4 linked regions of the Schizosaccharomyces pombe genome follow. Changing the gene in region 1 together with any one later gene gives a genetic interaction. Each region holds a gene or a part of one and is shown in the gene's direction. Other genes may lie near its edges. The genes, in order: rad55, dad5, rhp16 and psm1.

The links.
Region 2: mutations in rad55 (region 1) and dad5 impair growth when combined (synthetic growth defect), as found in Schizosaccharomyces pombe (one study listed by BioGRID).
Region 3: mutations in rad55 (region 1) and rhp16 impair growth when combined (synthetic growth defect), as found in Schizosaccharomyces pombe (one study listed by BioGRID).
Region 4: mutations in rad55 (region 1) and psm1 impair growth when combined (synthetic growth defect), as found in Schizosaccharomyces pombe (one study listed by BioGRID).

What each region holds. Positions count from the first base shown.
Region 1 is NC_003424.3:2,065,742-2,070,081, reverse strand, and holds rad55 (DNA recombination mediator, RecA family ATPase Rad55/Rhp55), read left to right. Parts: upstream 1-2,167; 5' UTR 2,168-2,317; coding exon 2,318-2,333; intron 2,334-2,377; coding exon 2,378-3,414; 3' UTR 3,415-3,640; downstream 3,641-4,340. Other genes in the region: SPOM_SPAC3C7.04 (transcription factor), read right to left, coding at 1-1,318; eisosome BAR domain-containing protein Pil2, read left to right, coding at 4,078-4,340. UniProt on the Schizosaccharomyces pombe protein: Required for radiation resistance and meiotic viability and acts in recombination and recombinational DNA repair pathways.
Region 2 is NC_003421.2:1,669,381-1,673,265, reverse strand, and holds dad5 (DASH complex subunit Dad5), read left to right. Parts: upstream 1-2,403; 5' UTR 2,404-2,660; coding exon 2,661-2,945; 3' UTR 2,946-3,322; downstream 3,323-3,885. Other genes in the region: SPOM_SPCC417.03 (uncharacterized protein), read right to left, coding at 902-1,023, 1,215-1,263. UniProt on the Schizosaccharomyces pombe protein: Component of the DASH complex that connects microtubules with kinetochores and couples microtubule depolymerisation to chromosome movement; it is involved in retrieving kinetochores to the spindle poles before their re-orientation on the spindle in early mitosis and allows microtubule depolymerization to pull chromosomes apart and resist detachment during anaphase.
Region 3 is NC_003421.2:101,540-108,801, reverse strand, and holds rhp16 (ATP-dependent helicase), read left to right. Parts: upstream 1-3,017; 5' UTR 3,018-3,065; coding exon of another isoform or gene 3,066-3,122; 5' UTR 3,123-3,225; coding exon 3,226-6,117; 3' UTR 6,118-6,378; downstream 6,379-7,262. Other genes in the region: SPOM_SPCC330.19C (uncharacterized protein), read left to right, coding at 465-484, 545-797; rhp7 (DNA repair protein), read right to left, coding at 1,383-3,017, 3,066-3,122; raf1 (CLRC ubiquitin ligase complex WD repeat subunit Raf1/Dos1), read left to right, coding at 6,631-7,262. UniProt on the Schizosaccharomyces pombe protein: Involved in global genome repair (GGR) via nucleotide excision repair (NER), in conjunction with rhp7, after UV irradiation.
Region 4 is NC_003423.3:2,538,562-2,545,657, forward strand, and holds psm1 (mitotic/meiotic cohesin complex ATPase subunit Psm1/Smc1), read left to right. Parts: upstream 1-2,154; 5' UTR 2,155-2,181; coding exon 2,182-5,847; exon of another isoform or gene 5,848-5,893; coding exon 5,894-5,914; 3' UTR 5,915-6,596; downstream 6,597-7,096. Other genes in the region: histone H3-H4 chaperone, CAF assembly factor (CAF-1) complex subunit A Pcf1, read right to left, coding at 1-1,392; exonuclease I Exo1, read left to right, coding at 6,988-7,096. UniProt on the Schizosaccharomyces pombe protein: Involved in chromosome cohesion during cell cycle and in DNA repair. Central component of cohesin complex. The cohesin complex is required for the cohesion of sister chromatids after DNA replication.

The sequences.
Region 1 (4,340 bases):
CCGCATCACATTCGCTGTCCGCAATAGAAAGTGGACGTCCTGTAGCAATACTGATTAAGCGATCCATGGTATAAACCGACCACCATAGGCGATTACGAAGTTCTTTGGTCTTGGGATCAATATTTGGATTTTCACAGCTACGATGCAACCCGTTTGCGACAGCAGCAGATAAAGAAAGTCCGAAGTAAGTATAGGAACTCTTTTGGGAAAGTGTAGACTGAAGATACAACCCCATAAGTATGGAAGCCTGAACCAAGCTTGGTTTGCATTGCTGAATTACTTGTGGTAACAAAAGCCTAGCAGTATCAAAAAACTGTTTTCCTGGGTTGTCAAAAGGATTGCTAGCAGAACGAATTTCCATGTGAGCAAACATACTACCAAGTGCAAAGATCATCATTAGCAAGCAAAGAAAGCCAGGGTCAACGGATGGATTTTGGAAGCTCATGATAAGGTTTAAACGATAACGAAGTAATGTTTCATGGAAAAAGAAAAAATTTGCTTGAACATGGCCATAGAAAGATTTGATAAGAAAATCTGAAACTTCAGGAGGAGGGAGAAGACTCAGCGCTTTTTGAACAGCATTTACATCATGTTCATTCGGAGGATAACTGTGATGGGTATGGGAATACGCGCTCAGCTCGGAAAAAGAAGGATCGACAAGTAGTTCACTTTGAACAGAGTCAACGAATGCTTCACCAGCAGAAGCTCCTATATAACGGGATTCGCCGTTAGAGTCAACTTTTATTTTTCCAATTAATTTCATGATTTCGTCAACGCTTTGATCGCTAGCATCAGCATTGATTCCATTGTTCGTATCCTCTGCTACGACCGTTGGATCTTGCTGAATTTGTGAACAAACAAGTGCACCTTGTGTAAGGGTATCCACGTCACGTTGACTATTGGTGCTTTCACTATTGAGGGAAAAGACATCTGAAGATAATAGTGATTTTTGGTTGCTTATACGATTGCAAACTTCAATCAATGAAGGTGTAGTATAAGTCGAAACTTTGGTGGAACAAAGACGTTCAACAATATATTCTAAACACTTGTATCTTTTTGAAAGATCAATAAAGTAGTCCTTAGAATAATCCATTTCTTTTTCATCCTTTACTGGATATGTGCATTCCAAATTATTGGAAGCACAAGCTTTGCATGGGTTTGCCCCGTCGCAACGAACTTTCCGGGCTTTGCAGTTAAAGCAGGCTAGAACCACCCTTCTTCGTCTCTCCATAGGAACACGACGTCTCCTATTATGCTGCTCCTGCTTCATGGCTTCGAACAGAACCGCCGTATTTTCAGGTGAAAATTCATGGCTCATTTTCCCCGTTTATGTTAGTAAAATACCAAGTTCATACCAATTTCCATAAATTTAAAATTCTTTTTCTATATTACAGAATTTCAATTCTGAAAAGAGAAAATGCTTAACTATGGCAATGACTTGGCAGAACTTGATTAGTAAATGCCTAAAAGAAAAAATTGTAGTACCCCAGCTCCTATGTTCTACTGGAGGGCGTAATTTAGTGTAGTGGTACGAACCTTTTTTATCAACGAAATCTAATATATACACATATTATTAGTATATGAGACCTTGTTTATACATAACTTTAAGAAAAAATCTAACCGATTTTAAATTTTTGAAAAATAAATACTGCTTGTATTGTACTTTGAAAATGGGAACTTCCGTCAATTTCTTTTCGTTGACGAGCTTATACGTTTATTGAAGCATGGCATGCAATCGATTTTTGTTAATAATTTTCCATTTTAGTATTTCTTCAATAAAATGAGTATTGTGTACATAGTAAACTAATTGCACACATATCGGTCGACACGCTATTTCATAAACGGAATGTAGTACGAAAATAATAGCTATTTTGATTAAAACCCTCTTGAGTTTCAATACAAATGTAAATGTTGCGTTATATGAACCCAAAGTTTAAAGTTCAAAGTCAAAGGCAGTAATGAATCATAGATTCAAATGAACTTGAGCTTACTCTTGCATTCCTGTTGACCTACCTAGTCAAATTTCCCATTATGTATAAAGGTTACGAATTTGTTACCTTCTAATCTGCTTAACCTTAAGACTAAAATAATTTATTCCTTATAAGAAACAACATTTAATGAAATGATTGCAAAGTAAAACACGTAGGATTTCCTTTGTCGTTCTACCAACACCTCCAAACCTTACAACGTATCGTTGTTTCTCATGTAAAGGGAAATTTTCCTATATCCTTTTTATGCTGTTATCAATTTAATATAAACTGTATCGCTGTTATTCTAGTAGGTCGCACTGTGCTGGATTTAACCTTCATTGAAATAAATGCTGTCTAGTCAACGTATGCGACTTCCAGCCTAGCTAACTGTGTCTAATACTTTTTAGATCGTCTAGTGACTCAACCTGCTATTCGTGCGTACGAAGCATTTTCTGCTCCAGGTTTCGGCTTTAATTCAAAATTATTGGATGATGCGTTTGGAGGAAGTGGTCTTAAAAGAGGGTATATTTCTGAAGTATGTGGAGCACCTGGGATGGGAAAAACAAGTTTGGCTTTACAGATTACTGCAAACGCTCTTCTTTCCGGTTCTCGTGTGATTTGGGTCGAAACTTGTCAACCAATTCCCATGGAGAGACTTCGTCAACTATTAGACAATCACGTCCCTTCTTCCCAAGATGAAGAGGAAAAATGCGATACTGATGAGTTATTAAATCTTCTCGATGTTGTATATGCACCCAATTTAGTGAATATTCTAGCTTTTTTACGAAATTTCGATCAAGAAAAACATCTTAAAGAAATTGGATTATTAATTATTGACAACCTATCAATGCCTATTCAACTTGCATATCCAACCAGTCCAGAAGATTATGCTTATCTACGTCTTCGTCGTAATACCAGCAAAAAAAGCTCCCTTTCAGATTCATCTCAAAAAGAAAACACTTTGACGTTAAACAAAGAAAATGAGTTCTCGAGTAAAGACGACTCGAATTTTGCATTTCATAACTCCTCTACCAAAACAACAATAAACCGCAGAAAAAAGGCAATCGGTACAATCAGTTCTTTGTTAAGCAAAATTACATCCTCTTGTTATGTGGCTATCTTTGTTACCACCCAGATGACTTCAAAAGTTGTTAGTGGGATAGGTGCTAAGTTGATACCGCTTCTCAGCACTAATTGGTTAGATAATCTATCTTATCGGCTCATTCTTTACAGTAGGCATTCAACTGAAGAATCAAAAGATGGACAGAGTCGTCCCTCTCATCAGCTTCTGCGCTATGCATTCATGGCAAAGCAGCCACCAGCTCATTCTGCAGAATCAGAGTTGGCTTTTCAGTTAACATCTACTGGTATTCAGGATTATCAAAGTATTCCTACCAATAGCTCACAACGACGTAAGAGATCCATTTTGGAATGTGAGTCCTAGGTAAAAATGGTGGCTTCAGTTACGAATTTTTTAGCATAGTGATGGTTGTTTTGCCCATATCTATTAATTTATTATACCTATTCATTACGTTGCATAAACAACTATGAATACTTGTCGAGTGTTGGTCAAAAGTTTCTCAATGATTTATTTGTGATCTCATATCTTTTCATAATGTATCATAAGCTATTTTGTTCGTTCATTTTTATGAAATTGCTAATTGTCATAGAGGAGGGAAATGATTAAGATATCTATATGTTTGCTGATTGACAAGTCCTTATTAATTTTCAATTGTTTAGGTGTCGCATTCAGTGTACGGACAATAATGACATTATGCTTTCGACATATAAATTCCATGTTGACATAGTGACGTCTCAAGCCTAGCTCAAATCTTTAAAACATGGGTTCAAGTCGCTAAAAATCTACCTGAACTTTACAGCTCTTTTGTTACTTTCGAAAGTGTAGTCTAATAAGTCCATTTTGAGCCTGACCTTATTTATACTTCGCTTTGTCTAGTGTGAGTTGGCGGATTAAGTATGTTTTAATGAACATTGTTTCAACCTACCTCTAATTAACATACTAACCTTTTTATTAGTATTTCCTTTCTCTTTTTATATATACATATTTTCAAAGTCTTAAATCGTTTATCAAGTAATTAGCAAGATGATGGGCACTCAACCATCTTACTCTATTCATACGCTTCGCGCGCCTCCTAAAGCGAAACAGAATCAAATTCCTCCCTCTACTACCCGTCGTGCAGTAAATGTTAATAAACTCGGCAGACAATTCCGTTATCCATCTGTGGGTATGTTTACTCCCGAAATGGCTAAACGCCTTGCAGCTCTCGTTAAGATGGAAAAGGATTTACTTCGATCTTATGAAAACGTTGCCATGGAGCGCAAAGAATGTGCCAATCAACTTTCGTATTG
Region 2 (3,885 bases), on another chromosome or scaffold:
GAGGAATGTAATAGACTGGGCCAACTAAGCAAGTCATGTTTGATAGGCGATTTCTCAGCCAAAGTGGGTAGACTGTATTTGTATGGTTTTGATCATTTTTGGTACTAGTCAGTTTCATGTAAAGTTTGGATTTAATTATTGGGTTTGACTCAAATCTCAATTTCATATTTGTGTTAATGTTAGTTTCATTCATATACTTTCGTCAGCATTTGTTTATGAAATTTCATGTTTCTTTTGCGAGCTCTTTTACTACTGCCCCATCTAGTCTGCATCCGTTCTCATTATCAAGAAATACTGCGGTACTGGTGCGAGGGTAGATGATTATCAAGGTAGGATGAAAATCCGCTCCACAAAGTTGTTAGTGATAAGTGGTAAAAGACGGTATGTGTTTGAGGTAACCATAATCGCCAAGATAGACAAGATGCAAGTGGAGCATTGTCGGCGTTAAAGTTAGTATTTTGATTTGTTTGAGCTATCAACATGAGTAAGTGTGCGGCGGCAGGCGAGTCGCAAAAGGAAAAAAAAAAGCCTTCATTTAGTTATCAGAGCATCGCCGACGTATACCTTTTTTCCATTGATAAATTTGTGTTAGTCAGTGCAGTTGTTCAACACAATCGGTCCTCCGTTTATCGGTAGCTCTTTTTTGCACTTTGACAAAGCACAAAATTCGTTTACATGCAATCATCTATTACGGATGTAAATGTCCGTCATAATCAAAGGAATGCCAACAACGCCAAGTGAAAGCGAGATGAGTTGGGAAAATAGGATCGCAATTTGACATTCCTACGTCTTCCTACGTCTTTCTTGGAATGAAGTAATCAACTCTTCGTAAATTAGCAGGGACGAGGAAAATATGCGACTGTTATCATTTTTAGCGCAATAAGGATAAGAAATGAGTGATTTAGGAAATAAGCAACTGGGAGATATCCATTATCACTTCCATAAGCGATAATGATAAACCGCAGGAAAAACACGTGTGAGCATGAAAAAGGGTATATATACATAGACGGAAAGGGGCTTCATCTTTTCTTTTTCTTTTGTTAGGGGCGTGGTGAATGGAAGTATTTCTTTGTTTTATGGGGAAGCGTACAAAATTGTGAAACGAAACGATGTATGTGTATGGAGTGTAGGAGTCATTCATTTTCATGAAAGAAACTATAATAAAAATGGGGTATATGATTAGAAAGGGATGAGTGAATGTTTGAAAAAATTACTTATAAAATGGTAATGAATATGATTAGAAAAAGCGGTATGAGGAAGCATGGTTACTAAATGAACCAACTTGATTATATAAAAAAAAAGAAACAAATTAAAAACTAATTTTCATCTAACTCAGGAATTCCTCCTTTGAAAATAGCCAAACATTAACTAAAAAAATTAAAAAAAAAAAAAGTAGAAAAAAAATGTAAATATTACAAATACTTCCCAAACTCCCATAAAGCATTCTATGACGATTTCCTTACACCAAGCAATTTTCCTGTTGGATTTTATTTGTCTCGACTGGTTTGTGTATCCCTGTTTCCTTTCTTTTGTTTCCAAGAGAATCATTTCCAGGGAATTGATACATTTGTCCATGCTAAGATAAAATCCATTGTTCGGTCAACTCACTTCCGATATATCTGAAACGAAAAAACAAAACCTGATTAGAAAAGCTATATGTTTTCACATATAAGAAGACTATATGTCAAACCCCATCCTAGCGTCGATATGAAATGGAACTCTGTGAAATGATAGATGTGGGGGACCTAAAAGATAAACCCCAGTGTAGTGAAATCTCGATGCTTTTGAAACTGAATAAAACCCGAGGATATTAAGACAAGTAGTTTATTAAAAAAAAAGGTTTTCCGATCGTAGTTGAGTAAAGTTTGAAAATTCAAACAATAATTAAAACAACGGATGCACATCACGCTGCTGCGTCTTCTCTTGCACGGACATTGACTTCCGTATGTAATTTGTCTAACGATCGTGCTCTTTCCATTTCTTTTTTCCTTTAAAATACTCATTTGCCTATCTTCCTCATAAGATGCCTAGCATGTCGAGCTTACGGAGAATTTTTATTTCCTTTGATTTGGACAAAGCACCTCATCCAACATGATTGTGATCGGAGCTTTGGAGCACTTTTCATCAGTTCCGTCTTCATCCTCCTTCTACACTTCCATGGAAATTATGCAAAACTTGATAATTCCATCCTTACCAATAATTTTGCCTATTTCCACGGAACTGACCCGAAAAATTTAGCAAAAGGAACGATTTCGGTATTACTTATTAGCTTGGAAATTATGTCTCGCTAAACCATATAACGAAAGTTTGGTTTTTTATCAGTAAGCGAAAAATTTACCGTCCCCCTTTTCCTTCTTGTCAGCTACATAAAAGATAGGTGCGCTGCGCTGGTCGCCTTTTTCTGCCACTCTTTCCACGCTATTTTACGCTCTTATTCATTTTTGAGGAATACTAACGTCGGCCGGTATTGTTGGAAATCGCTGCAATTTGTTAAATTGAAATACCACTCAAGTGGGTAATGGTCTCCTTTAATTGTCGATACTGAAGGTTGATTGCATTTTAGTGCGGTGTCTTAAAAGCTGCACTCGCCCATCACACACGCGTTTGGTTTGTTTACCTTCCATCTACCTGTCTGCCTTCTTTCACTTTCACCTTACACCATGCGTCGTTCTACCATTGTGCCAACTAGTCGAACAAGCAGTTCATCTCCATCTCCCAGTCAAATGAAAAGCTTTCAAATGAATCGTTTGGTGGACCAACTGTCCAAGTTGCAATCCAACATGTCTCATTTGGAAAACCACTTACATGTTACCGCAATTCAAGCAGAAGCCATCCGACGTCTTGGTGCTCTTCAGGCCTCGCTTCTGATGGCGTCTGGTCGCGTTATGTCCGAAGCGAGGATTCAAAAGTCTTCAGATGCTGTGGAAGAAGACGTTCCTATGTGAGTCTCCAACTTTTTTGATGCAGACCTCAAATGACAATGATAAAAAGGAGAATACAAGAGACAAAGTGCCCCAATGAAGGAGAAATATAACAGGAAAGGAAGTAGGAATGTGCTCTTTCTTAATTAGATGGGGCTATTTCTTATTTTACTGCAACAATGCGGTATTTGGGGCTTCTTTCAATATGTGGGTGTTGGAGTTGTATCAACTATGCATCCGGAATACGGCTTTTCGGCATTTTACGCTATGGGAGTTTTGCGACTCTCGGGCTGCACTCCCGAAACCTATGTTACTGCATTGTACGATGCAGTTCTGTAAAAAATAGCAGGCTAAAAGAGGGTGTTCTAGTTCGTCTAATAAGTGATCTCGTTCATTGGTCAGCTCGGTCGGCTAAGTAACCAAGGGAAACTGCAAAAATTGGATACCAGAAATGATTGGTCAATTGCGCTTCACAAAACAGTCAGTGTACCAATCATATGGTTTTTATTTGAGATAGCGCACAATCATTGGATAGCTAGCTAAAAAAAGGTAAAAGTGGTTCCTTTCGTTAGGCTTCTTTATTTTCACCTTACGATTTACCGAAGAGAGCTTCTTCGACCTCGCTTAGATGGGTGTGAACAACGCCGTCCCTTTGCCAACCTCAACGAAAAAAGAAAAGCAGGTTGTACTAATTTTAAACGTTTCAAACGATTTTGTAAATTGATTTCTTTAAGCTTTGGCTCCTCCTTATTACATACCTAATCAATAAATATCTGTTTTCTTTTGCAGTTTCTTCTTTTTTTGCTCTCTTCCAGGGAAAACGGAAATTTGATTTGAGGAAGCCATAGCGCCACCATTCCCCAATCTGTCTACAAATTACTTTTTTTTGTTCCACCACACCTCTGGATTGTATTCTAGCTTATATCTGTTTTATTTTTCTATATTTGTTTTGGTATTTTAGTTC
Region 3 (7,262 bases), on another chromosome or scaffold:
GCGATCTACAATGTAGCGGTATGCGGTATGTTAACTAACAATATTATATTTATTGTTATAAGAAGTCTGTTAGTATCGGTCACCGATATAGCTCATAACTGAACTGTGAAACGAGGTTCAGTAGAAGCTCCATTTACAATCTTACTAATAGTTTTTATCAACGGGTATCTATAATACAATGTAGAGCTTGTGACATATAGAAATACGCAACATGGTGTATCATAGAGTAGTCCAGTATTGCTGACATTATCTCCGCTTTAACAATCGTCCCTTTAGCTCTGCAAAATAGATAGTATATAAGGACTAGGGCCTGCCTGGCTTAAGTGAACTCGTTTTCTGGAAGAAAGCCCATTCATTCTCTGACCATTTGCTCTATATAAATTGATATTTCACAGGTTTGAAGATAGCCTCTTTCAAGATGTATATTAATCAAGAGGAAGATAATCGCATATCTTTAATGGAGAATGGTAGTCTTGAACAAAAGGTACGTTTAATCATTCTTTTATAATAAATCAACGGCTCACTAAGTAATTCTTCTTTATAGTGAGGCTCATGACCGTAGTCGTAAACTCGAATTATTAAGCATTAGAATCAATATTTTCGGTTTACAACTCAATATTATTATTAATCTCATACCGCTTGTCTTGCTTTTTGCTTTTTTTTGCCCTTGTATATATTTTTTGCATACTTTTCTGGCGGATTGTGAGATAGCCAAATCGACTTGCATAACCAGTGTTTTCAATTGTTTGATTTTTCATATGCCCAACTTGTCGGGCGATTGGAATATTACAGTTTGAAAAGAATGTTTGCAGTTTAAAAAGGATAAATATTTATGTTTGTTTGATGAGCTTTGCGTTTCCGAGCAGCAGTAAACCTCTTTAGTCTGGCAAGCAATACCATTAGTGTACTATTCATAATCTTATGCTATATAAAATCAAGGTGATTGAAAATTACATTGCTTGATATTTGTATTACAACAAAGAGCAGCGGGATTTTTTTTTTAAAAAAAGGTAGTTAAATTGTTTGATTATGTGTAAAAATGATTCGGAGATCCATTCGTAAAGAGAGGGAATGGTAATAAAAAAATAATTCATTACCCAAAGAAATGGTTAGCTATTTGTTCGCAGACCATATCATCTAATTTGAAAATAAATAAATAAATAAAATTAAAAATAAAAAGGTTTCAAATACAAATATTCGTTAAAGAATAATATCAGAAAGACACAAAAAGAGATTGAGGCTGTTCAAGGAACTTAGTGTCCATCAAATAAGGTGATAATTTAAATAATGTACTAGTCATTAAATTTTTCAAAAGAATAATTACAGGTCCAATTCAACAACCAAAACCTTTGATAAAATTGAAAAAGAAAGTATTTCCATCCTTATTGAACTTCACGCCCTATCAGAAGTAACCGATTTGAGGGCATCAGGACATGATTATCTCCCCATACCAAAAGCTTCTCAAGCGTTGGCTTTTTGCTTTCAAAATCGCATACCAATTTGTCATTCATTCCACGAATCCAGCTGACATCAAGTGCTTTTAGCATAGGTAATGGAAAATTGACAATATACTGTAATGCTTCATCAGTCACAAACGACATTCCATTTAAATCCAGAGTGCGAAGCGTATGCCCTGAATTAACCAATACTGCACGAACAGTTTTATCTCCAAGTGACAGACACCTTCTTAAGGACAATGTTTCTAAGCCTGACTGAATCTTCCATTCACCAAAAACTATAGAGGCCTCATCATCTGTTAACAGTTCCAAACCACTTAAATTTAGATGCTTAAGACGACCACAACAAGGACCTATACCTTGTTTCAAAACTTCATCAGTTAATTTTGTACAACCAGATAAACTAAGAGTATGCAAACCGCTTCCAATTTGGTTTAGTACATCTAATATACTTCCATCATTAATGATGCCGCCTGGTGATTCAATCTTCAAACTGACAAGATTTCTACAACCAGCTAATAGACGGACGCATTCATCATCAAGATAGAAAATTCTAGAGAGATTAAGGCTAATCAAATTTGGGCAACAGTCAACTATAGCGTTGATAACCGAAACATGAATTCGGGCAGTATCCGTAAGCTCTAAACTTATAAGCTTTGAACCCCGTTTTTTAAAAAAATTTATCCATTCTGAGGAAGAAACCAAAAAGGCACCTTGAAAAGATACATCTGTTAATTCAGTCAAATGATCCGCATAAAAGTGTAAAACTTGATCCTGCATTTGACCACAATAAGTAAGATGCAAAGTTTGAAGATTTGGGCAGTATTGAGCAATTTGGAAAAGTGAATCTGCTGTAATCTTTGAGCAATCATATAGTTTTAATTCAGTTTGACCCCCACTTAAGAATAATTTCACAGTAGTATCGTTAAGAGAGCGGTTTTTTGAAATTATTTGGCTAATTTTGTCCATATTCACTTGGCCAATATCCCCAAAAGCTTCGATATCATTTATGTATTCAGCAATAACTCGTATACACAAATCCTGAAGCTTAGGAACACTGATTTCTTCGTCCATGGTAGCGGCAGCCACCTTTTTACGGGTCAATGCTTTTCTTTTTCTCGTCCTTAATTCAGGTACCGATCGATCTTCAGCACCACGACTACAAGGATAACATAGCCACCCTTTCTCTGAATTGCTGTATTTGCTGTATGGGGTTATTGTAAAGCGACAATTACAGTGTGCGCAAAAATCTAGTTTGCCCGTATGCTCCCTTGCTTTATAAGAAAACCCAGCTCTTGAATTCATTGAAAAAGTGTCCTCGTTGTCTTCAGCTTCTTCATCCGTTTTCTTCTTCTTTTTTTGATTTCGTAGATTTCGTCGTTTCACTACTGGTATCTCAATTGTCGTTGTCGACATCGAGTTTTCATCTTCGTTGTTTTCTTCAACAGAAGTCGGTGTTTGAATAACTTCTGATTCTGTCCCAGTCGATTGCCCTGCTGACTCCTCGCTTTGACGAGGAGGACGAGCACGTCCTAATGCTGAAGCATTGATACCTTGAGACTGAATAATGCATTAGTAACTCCGAGCTAAGAAAGAGTCATCACATACTCTTAAAAATTCTGTTAAAGCAGAATTTGGCCCTCTCACCCGACTTCCACTTGACATTTTAAAGAAATCCTTAGTATGCTGAGGATAAGGTGGAAGTGTGGTTGAGTTTAATTAAATCGCTTCAGATCGCGTGGCAACTTGTCTCATACCAACCACTACTATGCATATATCTACTCTAAAAGTGGACCAATTACAAAATGAAGCTGTAGATATTAATTCAAACGATACAATTGATTCCATAAATTGGAAAAATACTCGCAATAACCATACTACTCAGGCGTCTCTTCAAGCAGACAATAATGATGAGCAAAGTAATGGGCAGGCTCCATTTTCTACTACTTATTCAGAGATAAATAACATTCATGATGTACCAGGCAATCAAGATGAATGGTCATCTTCTCCCATTGCGGGCATTATTGTAGAAAGTGAAGATGAGGAAGTGGTTGAAAACAATTTACATTCACAAATGGGGACGTCATGTAATAAAATAAACTCGAATAGTAATAAGGGAAAAGAAAATATGCATTTTGTTCTAGATGATAATGGTGATTCAAAGGGGAATGCTTCAAATCAACAAGTCGAGCGTGACGACAAGTTAGATATGGAGACAACGCGCTGGAACGGAAAAGAGTTTGAAGAACCTCTGTCAACAAACAAAAAATTGATTATCCAGTCAAACAACACCTCATCTCAACATTCGACACCCCCATTATCCATTTCTGATACCAGTACACACACCGGTAGCAGCACAGACAATGTAGAAGCAAATCCCAATACAGGTTTTTCTAGTGCCAGAAAACGTTCATTAAGGTCCTCGAATTTGAAAAAAAAGTTTGTGCCATTGTCATCTCCAGAAGAATCTAATGAATCCGAATTTATTGATGATGATGAAAGTGATGAAGTTGCTAGCATAATTGATATCAAAGAGGATGAAACTTTTGATAGTAAAGTAGAAATTCCAGAAGCTGCTCCAAGTTCTTCTACGGAAAGTGATGAAGAGTCAATCCCTTTAAGTTACCAGTCCAAACGAAGGAGGGTATCCGCTAGGGCTTCTTCTTCCGCGTCCTCTTCCTCTAGAACACAAGCAAAATCAATTCCATCACATGAAAGAACCCATTATCGTCTGATTCGACAACATCCTGAACTAGAACATGTTTGGGAGAAATTGGAAGAAGAAGCACCTCGTGAAGTGAAACAGATCGAGCAACCCAAAGAGTTGGTCCTAAACCTTCTCCCTTTTCAACGAGAAGGTGTATATTGGTTAAAACGACAAGAAGATTCCTCTTTTGGTGGAGGAATCTTGGCCGATGAAATGGGTATGGGTAAGACTATTCAAACAATTGCGTTGTTGCTTTCAGAACCTCGAGGTAAGCCAACCTTGGTTGTTGCTCCGGTTGTAGCAATTATGCAATGGAAAGAAGAGATTGATACACATACCAATAAAGCACTGAGTACATATCTTTATTATGGCCAGGCTCGTGATATTTCAGGAGAAGAGCTTTCGAGCTATGATGTTGTACTAACGAGTTACAATGTAATTGAATCAGTTTACAGGAAGGAACGCAGCGGATTCAGAAGGAAAAACGGTGTTGTAAAAGAAAAGTCATTACTTCATCAAATGGAGTTTTACCGAATTATACTTGATGAGGCCCATGGTATCAAATCAAGGACTTGTAACACTGCCAGAGCTGTTTGTGGCTTAAGAACGACAAGAAAGATATGTCTTTCAGGAACACCTTTGCAAAACCGTATTGGAGAATTATTTTCACTTCTTCGGTTCCTACGGGCAGATCCTTTTGCTTACTACTATTGCTTGCAATGTGAATGTAAATCTCTGCACTGGAGATTTTCCGATAGAAGTAATTGCGACGAATGCGGCCATAAACCAATGAGTCATACTTGCTATTTTAACGCTGAAATGCTAAAACCAATACAAAAGTTTGGATACGAAGGTCCAGGAAAGCTAGCTTTTAAAAAGGTGCATTCTTTATTAAAACACATTATGTTACGTCGAACAAAATTAGAGAGGGCTGATGACCTTGGATTACCTCCTCGAGTCGTTGAAGTGAGGAAAGATTTATTCAACGAAGAAGAGGAAGATGTATACCAATCTTTATATATGGATTCAAAAAGAAAATTTAATACATATCTTGCTGAAGGTGTCGTTTTGAATAATTATGCAAACATTTTCCAGCTAATTACACGAATGCGCCAAATGGCAGATCATCCTGACCTGGTGTTAGCTAGCAAACGAAAAACAGTTGATATTGAAAATCAGGAAAATATCGTCTGTAAGATTTGTGACGAAGTCGCTCAAGATGCTATAGAATCACGTTGCCATCACACATTTTGTCGACTCTGCGTTACGGAATATATCAATGCAGCTGGTGATGGAGAAAATGTCAACTGTCCAAGTTGTTTCATTCCCTTAAGCATAGATCTTAGTGCCCCTGCTTTAGAAGATTTTTCTGAAGAGAAGTTTAAGAATGCATCGATTTTGAATAGAATTGATATGAATAGTTGGCGTTCATCTACAAAAATTGAAGCATTAGTTGAGGAGCTTTACTTACTTCGTAAGAAGGACCGAACACTGAAGTCGATTGTTTTCTCTCAATTTACTTCTATGTTAGATCTCATTCATTGGCGACTTCGAAAAGCCGGGTTTAATTGTGTAAAGCTAGATGGTGGTATGACCCCCAAAGCGAGAGCAGCTACTATTGAGGCTTTCAGTAACGATATTAATATTACCATTTTTCTAGTTTCGTTGAAAGCAGGTGGTGTTGCTTTGAACCTTACAGAGGCATCTCAAGTGTTTATGATGGATCCTTGGTGGAATGGAGCTGTACAGTGGCAGGCAATGGATCGAATTCATCGTATTGGACAAAAAAGGCCGATAAAAGTAATTACCCTGTGTATTGAAAATTCCATTGAAAGCAAAATTATTGAACTACAAGAAAAGAAAGCTCAGATGATACATGCAACCATAGATCAAGACGAAAAGGCTTTGAACCAGCTTTCTGTCGAGGATATGCAATTCTTGTTCTCAAATTAGAATTTTGTTTTTTTAAAATTAGCCCAAATTTTGGCCGTTTCCTTTTTATATACCTGCCATATCTCCCTTTGCATTTTTTTTGTTATCCTAGTTTTTTGGACCGTAATTCCCTAAGTCAGTATATGCGTTTTGGAAGTTTATTTATTTTTTTGGGGATTCCTATTAATGGATATAATTTATTATTGAGTTGTCAATAGAACGGTTAAAGTTTTTTAAAACAAATTAAACATAGTTAAGATTTTATCGCTTCAATGTAAAGTCATTAACTTACCTTTGACTGATAAATTTGTAATAATAGTAACTCAATAGATAATCATTATATCTTCAATTTTAATATAATATTTTCGATTTTGGAATGTCTTTATACTTTTTGGACTTAGTAAATTCTTTATATCAATCAGTGCCTTAAACTCACTCAGCAACCCATAACTTCTGTTAAACTAGTGAACTTGCACACTGAAGGATTAAAAGTAAAAAGCCCAATAATTTCTCAAACAATTTCCTATTTATGGCATGACTAATAGTTCACCACGGGTGAAAAGAAGAACGGATACGCAATATTTGCATTCCGTCTCTTCTAAATTGCCCAAGGTTGACTTTGACACAAATAACGAAGAATTTTTTGAGGAAGAATTTGAGATTTATGATCCTTTTTATCGCGCAGAGCTACCTTGCCCGAAACCGTCATTATCAATATCGAAGCATTCAATTGCAAAAGTTCCATCAAATGTAAATAAACGATTAGAATTGCAACTTTTACTAACGTCTGGGACATTCTTACCTAATTCACGTCCTTATTTGAGTGAAAGAGTGAGAAAACACACTCATTTACTTTCAAATAGCATTACAGGCGATGATAAACCATCACTCATTCATGTTGATTTTACACCAGAGGAATGCTTTATTTTACAAGAAGCTAAACTAAAATTTGGACCGGTAAACAGTGTTCAGTTCAATGATGCTTATTCGACCCACATTTCTCCAAAACTTCCTGGACGAGCATATGAAGATTGCCAGAAATTTGAAATTGATAACCCCAGCTTGTCTCCTGTGGACAAACATGGGGCCATCATTTTACGAACATACAAGAAGAATAAAAAATTACTTCCAGATTACTTAAAATCCTTTTACAATGCAGGCTCATC
Region 4 (7,096 bases), on another chromosome or scaffold:
GGTAGGTCCAATTGTCATTCCACTAGACGCTGGAGCAGTATCTTGAGAAGCCCATAAATCCTCTTTAGGATCAATTTGGAGATATGTAGATGCTGAAAATGAACTAATGGGTTCAATTAAAGATAAGCAATTAAAGTCAGGAAGAAACTTTGAATCCCAAACCGGACCTTCTACGATTACCTCTAATGGGCCGGAGGAACGATGGGTATTAGAAGCATTGACACTATCCTTGTCATCATCCTCATCATCCACAAAAGCATTATCACCATCCTCTACAATATCATCGGAATTATCTACCTCTTCATCTTCACTTTCTAAATCTTCTCCATCATCTTCCTCATCAGCTACCCATTCTGCTTCTGAATCATATGTGTAGTCTATGTCTTCATCTTCAAGCCAGGGATTCAATAAAACGTTAGAACCATGGGAATGGGTTTTCGTGTAAGATCCAAAATATGGAGGGCGAACATCCTGATAAAAGAAAATGAATTTAATAGGAATCTGTGATAAACAAGATAAAATTTCTTGAGGTTTTGAAACAGATGGATCTTGATATGCGCTCATTAATTGTCGAACCTCGTTTTCGGAATTTCTATTACTAACACCTAAACTGTTTGCGGAGCTTACAGCATCTGATGGTGTAAAAATGTCGTTTAGCTTTAAAGGATAAGATTTAGAGGTTGAGAGGACTTCATCCAAAAAAGAATCAGATTCGTTCGGAGATGGATATTTGGAAAGGGACATCTGATGCTTTATAAAAAAAGGGCGAAACTCTTTCTCAAACTCATTCAGTTCATCCGTTTTGTCAGCTACAAAATTTTCGTTTGGCGCGATTCGTTTCTCAACTCCTTTGGTGAAAAAGTTGTTTAACTTCAATTGTTGTCTTTCCTTATTAAGGATTTGTTCTTGACGAAGGCGCTGTGCTTCTTCTTTCTCACGAAGCTTTTGATCCCTCTCCTCCTTCCGCCTTTGTTGTTCCTGCAATCGAATCCGCTCCTTCTCTAATTTCTCTAATTCTTTCATTTTCTTAGCGGCGATTTTTTCCTGTTCTCTTAGCTTTTTCTCTTGCTCTCGTTGTTGACGTTCCTTTTCACGTTTTAAACGCTCTGCTTCTTTTTGTCGAATCCTTTCCTCTTGGGCCCGCTGTTTTTGAAGCTTCTTTTCTTTACCCGCTTCAGCAGAGCCATTATAAATTCTTTTCTTTCTATTACCCTCATAACTTAATTTGCAAACGTACTCATCAGCTTCACTTGCAGAGTGACTGGAATGAATAACCGATTCATTCGGGGAACTCACTGATAAAGACGTAATGTCAGTGGAAGAGCTACATAACTCATTTCCCTTATTACTAGTAGAGGCCGCGACATCTGAATCAACACTTTCACTATTCATAGACAATGCTGCGAATATCAATAACAAGCCTAAGGGAGGCTAAAAACCGTGCGTAAGTTGTTTTAACGGACGCTCTGATCGAATAAAGAGGATAAAGGAGAGTTCGTAAATTATATGTTAATATTCTATTATATACATCACTATCCCAAATCTGTCTCACCAATCTATTATTCATCCATCTTAACGCTTATATAATTGAATAATTTAATTCCTTAGTTCTAACAAGATATGTACTGATTGATCTGAGTAGCTTAAACATCAAAGTTTTTTGCGAATGGGTTAATATGGTGATTTGTTATATATTTTACCTGACTACGATTATATAATATTACTGCTACATTGCATTACGATATTAATGTTAATATTTTATGGCTCATCTATATTATGATTGAGTTAATATCAGTTGACGAGAATTTTCTTTGAAATTATTTGCCATATTTTTTAACTGGTGATTGGAGTACCACAAATTCATTAATAATGAAACAAACGGATGTTGTTATCATCAATTTTCTTCCTATTTATATGCAGCAAACTTCTTTCAATAACGATGCATCGTACATATATAGGCAGGGGCTATGCAGCTTAGAATAGTAATTCGCTGGAAGGATAATATCATAATAACGAGGTTCTTGTTACAGTGAATATCAAGTTGCACTATATATTATATCGTGGATTTCTGAAACTTTATGAGATGTAATCGTAATGAGTAGGTAACAATATCTAATCAAGTAAAGACGCGTACGCGAGTTTCATACACACCTTGTACATTCCTTTTACCAAGTTTTCCTAATGGGACGTTTACTAAGACTGGAAGTTGAAAACTTTAAGTCTTATCGAGGACATCAAATTATAGGTCCTTTTGAGGACTTTACCTCGATTATCGGTCCTAATGGAGCCGGAAAATCGAATTTAATGGATGCCATTTCTTTTGTTTTAGGGGTCAAGTCTTCTCATTTACGATCAACTAATGTTAAAGAACTGATCTATCGGGGGAAAATACTGCAAAGAGATAATACAGATTTCACTGATTCTAGTAATCCTACTACAGCATATGTGAAACTTATGTATGAGTTGGATAATGGGGAGCAAAGAGAGTATAAACGCGCAATCACTCCTTCTGGTGCTACTGAATACAAAATTGATGAAGAAATAGTTACGTTTTCTGAATACTGCGGATCTCTCCAAAAGGAGAATATTCTTGTTCGAGCTCGAAATTTCTTAGTTTTTCAAGGTGATGTTGAAACCATTGCTTCGCAATCTCCTTTAGAACTTTCAAAGCTTGTTGAACAAATAAGTGGCTCTCTGGAATATAAATCTGAGTACGATAAATCTAAAGACGAGCAGGACAAGGCTGTAAATTTATCTGCTCATTCGTTTAACAAGAAACGTGGTATCAACGCTGAGTTACGCCAATATCAAGAACAGAAAACTGAAGCCGAGCGTTATCAAAGTCAAAAAGAAAAACGAGACTCTGCGCAGTTAGTTTACCTTTTATGGAAACTCTTTCATCTAGAGAAAAGTATTAGTTCTAATATGGCAGAGGTTACTCGATTAAAGGCAGATTCCATTCAACTTATCGAAAGGCGAGATGAGAACACTAAAGAGATAGAAAAGTTGAAAGAAAAAGAGGGCAGTATACGAAGAAACCTTCTTGCATTCGATAGAAAAGTTCGAAAACAAGAAAAGTTGATTGCTTCGAAACGTCCAGAGCTCATTTCAATTGCCGAGAAAGCCCTAGAGTCTAAGTCAAATCTCCGAAAAATTCAAAGAAAAGCTGCGGAAATAGAAAAAGATTATTCTGACCAAGCTAGTACGTTACAAGTATTAGAAAATCAATTGACTTCACTCTCAGCTGCTGAAAAAGAGTTTTTAAAAGACATGCAGGAAAAAGAGCAACTCAAAGGGTTGCGATTGTTACCAGAGGATAAAGAGGAGTATGAAGGACTTCGAAGTGAGGCGGACAAATTAAACTCAAATCTATTGTTCAAATTGCAGACGTTAAATAGGAATATTAAAGTTACTTCTCAATCAAAGGATTCATTAACGAGCATCGTTGGAGACTTAGAGTCGAAGATTAAAAGCCTTCATGAAAGTGTTTCTTCTCTTGATACCGAGCGAGCGGATTTGCTTGCTAAAATAAATGAAAAGATTGAAAGTTTGGAACTTGAAAAGCATGATCAGCAGAAGAAGAGGTTGACTTATTCTGAGCTTTTTCATAAAACACAAGAATTAAATGAAGAGCTTCAATCTTGTTTACAGAAAATTTTAGAGGCAAGTGCCGACCGCAATGAATCCAAACAGGATGCTAAAAAAAGAGAAGCATTGTATGCTTTGAAAAGGATATATCCTGAAGTCAAAGGAAGAATCATTGACTTATGTACTCCTACTCAAAAGAAATATGAAAGCGCAATCGCTGCTGCTTTAGGCAAAAATTTTGACGCAATTGTCGTCGAAACGCAGGCAGTTGCTAAAGAGTGTATTGACTATATAAAAGAGCAACGCATAGGTATTATGACCTTTTTTCCAATGGACACCATAGCAGCCAGTCCCGTTAATCAAAAATTTCGTGGAACACACAAAGGCGCCCGACTTGCAATTGACGTTTTGAATTTTGAGTCTGAATATGAACGTGTAATGATTAGTGCAGTTGGAAATACACTCATTTGTGATTCAATGACTGTTGCTCGAGACCTTTCCTATAACAAACGTCTCAATGCCAAGACAGTTACTTTAGAGGGAACGGTTATACATAAAACAGGGTTGATTACTGGTGGATCTTCAAACAACCGGTCGGCGAAACACTGGGATGACCATGATTTTGATCTGCTTACTCAAACAAAAGATAGACTTATGCATCAAATTGGTGAAATAGAATATCAAAAGTCATCTTGTGTGATTACAGAAAGTGATACTGTCAAGTTGCATAGTCTTGAATCTGAGATATCTCTACTCAAAGACAAATATACAGTAGTTTCTAGATCCGTGGAAGACAAAAAAAAGGAAATTGGACATTACGAATCTTTAATCAAAGAAAAACAGCCTCACTTGTCAGAATTGGAAATGGAACTTCGCAACTTTGTTAAAAGTAGAGATGAGCTTCAAATTCAAGTAGAAAAGGTTGAGGAAAAGATATTCTCCGGGTTTTGCAAACGAATTGGGATAAGTGATATACATACTTACGATGAGATACATCGCACTTTTACTCAAAGTTTTACACAAAAACAACTCGAATTCACCAAGCAAAAATCATTACTTGAAAATCGTATTAGTTTTGAAAAACAACGTGTTTCAGATACCAGGTTACGATTAGAGCGTATGCATAAATTCATTGAAAAAGATCAGGAATCTATTGATAATTACGAGCAAAATCGGGAAGCACTTGAATCAGAAGTTGCAACTGCCGAGGCTGAGCTTGAATTATTAAAGGAGGATTTTGCAAGTGAGAACTCTAAAACTGAAAAAATTTTATTAGCTGCATCCGAGAAAAAGCTAGTGGGCAAACGATTAGTGTCTGAGTTAACAAAGTTATCAGGAAACATTACTCTTTTAGAATCGGAGATTGACCGCTATGTATCTGAATGGCACGCAATTTTACGAAAATGCAAACTAGAAGATATAGATGTTCCGTTACGCGAAGGATCTTTGACGAGCATACCTATAGATGATGTCTCAAACAGCGGTGATATCACCATGGGCGAAGAGCCGTCTGAACCAGTAATAAATTTTGAGAAATTTGGAGTAGAAGTGGATTACGATGAACTGGATGAAGAGTTACGCAATGACGGTTCTGAGAGTATGGCTTCTGTTCTTCAAGAAAAATTGAGAGAGTATTCGGAAGAGCTGGATCAGATGTCTCCTAATTTAAGGGCTATTGAGAGACTTGAAACAGTAGAAACTCGCTTGGCGAAGTTAGATGAAGAATTTGCTGCTGCTCGTAAAGCAGCCAAAAACGCAAAAGAACGCTTCAATGCCGTTAAGCAAAAGAGATTGCAAAAATTTCAAGCTGCCTTTTCGCATATCTCGGAACAAATCGATCCAATATATAAGGAACTTACCAAAAGTCCTGCTTTTCCTCTTGGTGGAACAGCGTATTTGACTTTGGATGACCTCGATGAGCCATATCTTGGAGGAATCAAGTTCCATGCAATGCCACCTATGAAGAGATTTAGAGATATGGATCAACTTTCTGGAGGAGAAAAGACCATGGCTGCTTTGGCTCTGCTATTTGCTATCCACTCTTATCAGCCATCCCCATTTTTTGTATTGGATGAAATTGATGCAGCTTTGGATCAAACCAACGTTACCAAGATTGCCAACTATATTAGACAGCATGCATCCAGCGGTTTTCAATTTGTTGTCATTTCCTTGAAAAATCAGTTGTTCAGTAAATCAGAAGCTTTAGTGGGTATTTATAGAGATCAACAGGAGAATTCTTCACGAACATTATCAATCAACGTAAGGGATTACTTTTTCTTAATTTTAAAATACTAACGAAAAACAGTTGGAAGGTTATGTGGAGTAAATGATAATATTAACCTGTGATATGCTGCTTAATGTCTGTGTTAATATATTCTAAGAATACTTTATGTTTAATAGGGATGGCAAATATATATTTGCGTAATTTATTTATTTCTAACGAATTTAATTTTAATTGTTTTAAGTTTCCTTCTATAATTGATCAAGGACTTTTTTAATTTACAACGCTTTTTCTTTATGTCCTTAATTGATTTTGTCTCTGAATTGACTGGGCTAATGATAGAAACATTAATTATAAGTCACAATTGTCAGCTACGTTTATGTTTAATCCCTAGTTTCAAGGAAGTTGGGTTTAAGTGAGGTTAATGTTTTCAATATAATTCCAGTAACGCAGTTACGCTTAGACGATTCGGCTCACCCCTTGACTGTTTGTTAACTAATGAATTTGGCTGCATACAATTTTGAGAAGTCTCTACTATTCTAGAAGGCTTTCTCCGGAAACTAACTATTGCATTTTCCTTTTTAGTTTAACAGTATTTGCAGTCACAAACTAGCAAGAATACTTTTAAGAATAAACGTTTTATTAGCGACGAATAGTTTAAAATATGTTTAAACCCAACTAGATGCTAACCGCACTACATTTTTAAAACCGCAGCTTATAGAACTTTAAAATATTAATTTTGCGCTTGAGTTTTCCTCATACAGCTAAATTCAATGATTTGGTAATGGTTGATTGATTCACCGTAGTCTTAGTTAACAATCACGATAGATTTCAAACAAAGAACTTTAAAGAAAAAAACTTACTTATAGTATTATCATGATTTTAATGATTTCGATTGAATAGATGTTTAGAAAAGAAGTACACCAGCATACTCAAACAATGATAGCCGGCTCCTTAAATTATTTCACACATAAACAATAACAAAGCCTTTTATATTTATCCTTTCTTAATGATAAAGTAAATTTTATACTTGTTCGTTTTGGGCCTATCGACTGCAAGAATATATTTGTTGATCAGATACACAACACACTTCCAAGGGTACTACGTTAAAACTGTTACAGAACCAACATCTCGATAACGCACCTGCATTCTTTTGGTGCTTGACGAATGCTTTAAACATGGGAATTAAAGGTCTTTTGGGACTTTTGAAGCCTATGCAGAAAAGCTCTCATGTCGAGGAGTTTTCTGGCAAGACTTTGGGAGTTGATGGATATGTTTGGTTGCACA